2 linked regions of the Schizosaccharomyces pombe genome follow. Changing the gene in region 1 together with any one later gene gives a genetic interaction. Each region holds a gene or a part of one and is shown on either strand. Other genes may lie near its edges.

Region 1 (3,691 bases):
ATTTAATAACAGACCACATTTGTGTACTACGTTTGTTAGTATCTCCAACATGTTACGAAGAAATCCTACGGCAATACAAATTACTGCTGAAGATGTTCTTGCATATGACGAAGAAAAGCTAAGACAAACGCTTGATTCCGAGTCAACAACAGAAGAAGCATTGCAGAAAAACGAAGAGTCAACACGTTTATCGCCTGAAAAGAAGAAAATTATTCGTGAAAGAAGGATTGGAATTACTCAAATATTTGATTCTTCAATGCATCCTTCCCAAGGTGGAGCCGCTCAATCATAGACCGTGAAACTAAATCATAATTAAATCATCAAATAATCGTTAGCCCACATTTTTTCGATTTGCACTGTTTTGTTAGCATTTCACACCTGCCTCCATACTGCTGATCTTTACATATAACTATTTTAATCGGCCATCATAATATGGACTACACTGTCTATGTTAATTTAATTAGTAAGATATACATCGATTGATAGAACAGTGAAGTTTTCGTTAAACAATGACCAGTCTCATTAACTTTAATCTTGCATACATTTATCCTAATGCTTCACTCCATCAATTATTCAACTTAAATTCTTACCCATATCAAATTGTCAAGCTATTTCATTTCTATTGTTACCAAGAGTATTTATAAAGGTTATTCGCAAAATTTATCAAATCTATATATGTATATGCATGTCGACAAAAAAAAAAGTGGGCTTTAGGAAAGAGGTGAAGGCGTGTGGATCAAATAGATAGTTTGCGAATTAATAATTAAGAGTAAATTCGAAAAGCTCACTATAGTTTACAAAACACGAGACTCCAATCTATGGCTTCAAATCCCCCATTTTTGCAACATGACTGTCATGCTCCTCAATGTCTTGAGCTTCCCAAGGATACATGATCCAGCAGTCGGGAGTATTGCAACCAGTAAAGTAATATTTATCCAAAATCTCCTTATCCAATTGAGCATTTTTTGGTTTAACCTTATTATGGACAACAAAAATACCAAATGTGGTCTTCTCTCCTTCACGGTTAAGCTTCTTAGCTTGCTCGGCAACATCTCTTTGAAGCTCGCGAAGAGCATAATGGAGAGTGGTACGAGTATCATCTACCTCGTCAACAATTAGAATGTTCTTGCCAACGAGATCAACCATTCCAAGAGTACTAAAATCAAGCCATTGAGTTCGCTTAACTTCAAGCCCAGGAACTTCTTCAGGGGAATCAGAAACAAGCTCTTCATACAGGCTGAGACCAATGGCTTGAATGGGAATATTTTTGCTTCCTTTTTTCTTAAGGAAAGTACGAAGGATTCTGTTATATTAGCAAATGTTAACCATATGAAGATAAGAAGAGCAAGGAATTTGAATGCACCACGATGGATTCTTGGGCTCAATTGAAAATGCAGGTAAACGATGCGTCCTTTTGAAAAGATCATACATAAAAGCCTTAAAATCCTTATCGTGGATAAGCATTGTTAAAATCAATCATTTGTGAAATCACAAAGATGCTGCCATTCAAATTTTAACGCAGTAGGCCGTTATAGGAAGCGCTTCTTCCTGTTATCTTCTTTATTTGTTCAACTTACCTAGCCGGAATGAATCCACCACCTCCAATGGCTATAATCACATCAGGACGAAAGGTTTCCAAAATTTTTTCTGCCTGTTGAGCACACATCTTATGAATGTCATTGTAGCTGTAATAAAGACGAACGGGATCCATAATAACTTAAGAACAAAATGAAACAACCAAAAAATGAAGGGAACGATAAAGGTGTAAACGTGAACGGGGGAAATACGTTCTTTTGATATTTATGTACTTTTGACAATTTAAGCGTTCCTTAAGGTAATCTCGTTAAATTACTGATAGGAAAAAGTCACTAACCCTACCCTCTATGGTGGTTAGTTAGGGATATTCTAACACCGACCAGACGGTGTCTAGCAAAGAATATGATGTTTAAAACGATTTCAGTTATCTATGAAGGCCATTACATATGTAAATGTTCTTTATATTGATTTTCTAGATGTTTAATACTTTTCAAAACCCATCATTTCGTTGTTAAAAATATATTAAAAGGTATATCAGCTAGCATGTCTGATAAGATTTATTATATGTATATAATGCTTTAGGTTTCAATTTTACTGTTTACTTTTTGTATAATTATAGCAAAATTAATATAGCTCAATTTTTGCCTGGGCAATTAACTGCGGTACATTACTCAAATGTACTCGTAACAAGAAAGGTTTTGGATTATTCAGTGCCGTTTGAAGAACCGATGCAGTCAGTCATCACATAGGTGTCTCATCCGAAGCCTCGTAGTTCTGGGAAGGATTAGACGCATTACCTAAAAAACGGTACAAGGGGGATTGTACAAGTAGATAGTGCAGCGAATTTGTAAATATCTAATCACTTGTAACCAGCCAAAAAGTAGATAACGCAGCATACGTAGTAAATATCGAGACACATGCTTACTTCAATCTTACACTAACTGGTGATTTTTAGATATGGTGGAGACCATGAGTTATTGATAAATGAACTATTTATTTGTCATTTGAGAATGAAAAGAAGGAAATATAATGAACAGGATGATTGAGAATGTTCTTATTCTTTTTGTTTTATTAATAATCATGTATATATATATATATATATATAAAAATTTTTTTAAAAGAAAACCCTCTGACATCAGGCTTTCATTCAAAACATTAACAATGCTGCTATGTTGACAGTATAATTATGAAAAGCTCTTCAACATCACTAGATTTTCCTTTTAGAAAGAGTTTTATTTTCGAAGCATTTCTTTTTTGTATGCATTCACTCATAATATTAAAATTACTTGATATATTTAGCTTATTACTAGCGAAATCTGGGGAGAGAGAATGCTCGTTTATGAACGAAGATCATAAAACATTGTAAGTTTTGAGAACAAACCACTGCTATAAACAACAAATAGAAAGACCTTTTTAATATATTTTATGGCGTTTAATCAAATTATTAAGCAAACCCAGTAATAGCTAAAAATAGTTGAAACATCTAGGATCATTTTCAATTCCTTATTTATTTACTTCTAAACAGCCGTTCGGCCAAGTTTCTGTGAGCTACAAGAAATGATGGTATCTTTCAATAAACAATGATTGGCGTTGCATAAAGCAAGCGTATGAATGGAATATTGAGCTATTAAAAATAATATAAATATGCAATTTCAAACGTTTTCGGCTTTTAAAAGTGGAACGTGGCACATTTAATCAACGTAAATCATTTTTTTTTTACCTATAGAAGTTTACCCAAAAATTGATACCAAGTATTAGCTTTATTAACTAATTACTTTTGGTAAAGCGGTAGAACCTATTCGACGAAATATCAATCAAATTACCAAGTACGATCTTGTCGCTCACTCATTACCCAAAAAATCATAGAAAGGACGATCCAAATATGTGTGCATATTGCTTATAATTAACTCGTTTATTACTGCGATACTCTGTAATTCGTTGTATCTGATTACGAATAATAATAGTCACTTTTACGATATCAATTATTATCAGATAAATATTTTCGATCGCAAAATTTGATCTTCTAACTATTTTGACTAATTTGTGCGTTTATTCTTAACACCGAATTGAAAGAAAATTTCAAAAGGTAGTCTTTGTTAGTTCCTTTTGTGGTAAACGCGATTAGTGGCCAGTCACTTACAAAACTTTGTTAAAG
Region 2 (3,548 bases), 1.9 Mb from region 1:
TCTCTTAAAAAATGAAAACAATTTTGTTTCTAAATGGGCCAACGTCTCTGTGCGTCAATCAGACTTTGACGCCCCTTCGTACTTCCAAGGAACTCCAGTTTCAAACCTATATTTGTGTCTGAAATGCATAAACAGCTAGGAATAACGCTGTTTTGTGATTTTTTATTTACGCATGTGTATAGACTTGCGGTCATATATGCTTTTTACTATTTAAAAAATATTTGTGCTGCGTGATTTCAAAGCCTATAGATGTTTATCCATTCAATACTTAATAAAAGTATATTTGGATAATTCAGCTTTCTCTTGTAATTATACTTTTAATCGAGGGCTATATTATAACGTGGATTCGTCAATAGGCTTATAATAAGCTGAATGTATCTACCTATTTATATTAAAGAAAAGCGTGGTATTGACCATTCTAAAAATTATACCCTTTATGACCCTTATAAGCTTTTCTCCTTATGATGTTGCATCCTTTTTTCTTTTTTTTCATTTTAAGATATCGATTTCCACCCGATTTATATATATTTGCTAACAAAAATCCTACTTTTTAGAATACTAGTTGAAAAATGTATAACTTATTCAATTTACAACTTAGACTAAAAAAATCCTAGCTTGACGAATAAACCATAGAAAAAAACCCAGAACCCTAAACATTTATAAAAAAGGAATAAAGCAAATATAACGTTAAAAATTAGAAATGCTTATACATACTTCGAGTTCATAGTTTAAGCAAATTCACTACCATCAGGTGCTTCATCCTGTCCAGTAAGAAGTGTATAAGTAGGAGCCATAAGACGCTTACGTCCTTGAAGAAATGTAAGTTCTAAAAGGAAGAGATGTCCAACTAATTCACCACCCAAACGAGTAACGAGTTCATCAGCAGCCAAGGCGGTGCCACCAGTAGCAAGAATGTCGTCAACTATTAAGACTCTTTGACCGGGTTTAATAGTACCCTTTTGGATTGCAAAAGAATCAGTAGAATATTCCTTATTGTAGCTTACGACGACCAAATCACCGGGAAGCTTGTTGGGCTTACGGACAGGGACAAATGCACAATTTGCACGTAAAGCCAACGTAGGTCCAAAAAGAAATCCACGCGCCTCCAAACCAACAATCACATCAATGTTATTGAATTCAGTTTCAACGGCTTCAAGCAAAAGATCGATAAGGATGCCAAAGGCTCTGGGATCTTGAAAAATGGGCATTATCTAATAACATTAGCATCTTATTGTTTATAATTTAACAGAGTATTTAAGCAATTGCAAGGCGTAAAGATAATATAACCTCTCGAATTGTATTTTGGATTCAAACTTCACGCTAATTGAGCAAAATAATATCACCGTTCCTATCCAACCTCGCGCATTTCCTCCTTCTATAAAATCTTACATCTTCAAACAAGATTCCCTTTTTGGGAAAATCTGGATATTGAACAAGTTTATTCTTAAGGTAATTGATTCTATCGTCGGACATTTTAGTAAATTGCTATGTAAAAACTTCTACAAAAAAAAATAAATACTCAATTTCCGTTACCGTCTATGCAGCGAAAATTTTGGACTGCTGTTTTCAAGTAACATGTTACCATCCGTTTAATGTAAAAAACGTCAGTCATAATTCACCTATTAATACTAAGTAGTGTACCGGGTTAACTTTGGCAGCTAAGACGAGCTCTAAAAGAAACGTTTATGTTTGAAATTCGACGCTCTTTTCCATTCCTTTCTTCGTGAAAACTGTCAGCCACAACTCCATGTTTTGAGGTATTCCTTCTTTAGTTTGATATACACTTCAAGCAATTTCAGTCATATCCGTTGTTCATCATTAAACAAACTTCGGTCAAGATTATTAGCCGTTTTTTGCTATTACATTCAGTAGAAAGCTTATTTTTTAATTTGTTTAAGCCAGTTATACTGATACACTTGGTATTAATTCAATTCAGAAAAAAATTTCAACGGCAAACATCGATACACATTTTTCTAAGAACCAAGCTTCTTTTTCAGGAATTTTGAATCAATCATTTGACCATTGATTTGCAATCTAAATTTTAGCAGTGGGTTTGTTCGAATACTGCAGCTATACCTATAAATTACCCATTTACTAGCTTCATGGATTAGAAAAATAAGTTTTGTTGTTTCATTTGTGCTTTTTGTTTTTCTATTCTGTTCTGCTCATTTCTTGTTATTTGAAAGCAAATCTTTCTAAAAAGCTTTATTGACACTTTTATGGTGGTATACCATTTATATAATCTAGTAAGTAAAGCAAAAACCAAAATCTTACGCCTCTACATTACTCGTTTAGTCTGCTCCTAAGTAAAAATAGGCACTCCAAAAATCGCTCCTTCTCTCCGTTCCCTTTTTTAATTTACGTTGACATAATTAAGTCAATAATGTTTGCAAGACATCCGAATTTATTATGGTTGAACAAACAACTGTCTATTTTACATTATCTTTGCCTAGTTTTTTTAGCTGTCTACTATGCCTATCCTCTACTATTTGGCATAATGCCAAGAAAGCTGCAACTCGAAGATGAAAATTCTTTTGTTATTATGGGGGTTGCTGATCCTCAGATTGAAGGGAATCATAAAATCGAAGCAAATGGATTTTTTAAAGGCACTTTAGATCTTTGGGGGAATGATTTGTTTTTACGACACCTTGTACATATGAATCAGTTTTGGGGTCAACCAGATGCGATGATTCTGTTGGGTGACTTGGTCAGTTTTCAGCACTTGGATAACGAAGAATTCAACAAAAGAGCTAAAAGACTGAAAAAAATCACTGGGGCAAAAAACTTTTGGCAAGTAGGAAACTCCAGTTTACCAGCACGTACTTTTGAAAACGGTAACATTCCCGTTTGGACGATTGCGGGTAATCATGACATTGGCTATGGCTGCGAAAGTTCAGACGCACAAATTAGCAAATGGGAACAAGCTATGGGCCCGGTAAATTGGGTTTCGCACTTCAATGTTTCTAAATTTCCTGTCCGTGTGATCGGCATAAATAGCCTTTCGCTTGATGATGTTCAGTTTTACGATGCGAACCCTAGCGATATTATTAACAGTAAAAGTTTTTCATCATTAGGTATACTTGCTCTTTCAAAAGAAGCTAGGGATGCTTGGCAATTTCTTTTCGACATTGCTTTAGAGCCGTCTATTCCAACCATACTGTTCACCCATGTGCCACTCTACAAACCAGCTAATGTGTGTGTTGACGAACCGAGAATCGTTCGTCAATTGGATTTTCGGGTCAAGTCTCAAAATCATTTATCGTATAATACTACTATGAAAATTTTTGAATTGATTCCTAGCATCAAATTGGTCCTTTCTGGCCATGATCATATGGGTTGTGACTACGAACACCCGAACGGTGCCATCGAACATACATTACCCAGCGCAATGGGGTACTTTGGAGGAAATATTGGTTTTGTCAAACTGATCGCGACAAATGATGTTCTTACAGAGTCCTCCAAGAACACACCCTCGGTTGTTACATTTCTGATTCAAAAACTCATTGGCCAACGATGGAAGAAGGCTTCATTGAAACAGTCAAAATTCA

Evidence for each region.
Region 2: of hpt1 (region 1) and apt1, changing one enhances a phenotype caused by changing the other (phenotypic enhancement), as found in Schizosaccharomyces pombe (one study listed by BioGRID).

The regions. Positions count from the first base shown.
Region 1 is NC_003424.3:2,154,746-2,158,436, forward strand, and holds hpt1 (xanthine phosphoribosyltransferase), read right to left. Parts: upstream 1,773-3,691; 5' UTR 1,712-1,772; coding exon 1,578-1,711; intron 1,304-1,577; coding exon 817-1,303; 3' UTR 629-816; downstream 1-628. Other genes in the region: hcn1 (anaphase-promoting complex TPR lobe accessory factor subunit Hcn1/Apc12), read left to right, coding at 50-292. UniProt on the Schizosaccharomyces pombe protein: Converts guanine to guanosine monophosphate, and hypoxanthine to inosine monophosphate. Transfers the 5-phosphoribosyl group from 5-phosphoribosylpyrophosphate onto the purine.
Region 2 is NC_003424.3:4,081,611-4,085,158, reverse strand, and holds apt1 (adenine phosphoribosyltransferase), read right to left. Parts: upstream 1,504-3,548; 5' UTR 1,474-1,503; coding exon 1,390-1,473; intron 1,350-1,389; exon of another isoform or gene 1,212-1,349; coding exon 729-1,211; 3' UTR 563-728; downstream 1-562. Other genes in the region: alpha mannosidase Mnl1, read left to right, coding at 1-139; ted1 (phosphoprotein phosphatase), read left to right, coding at 2,384-3,548.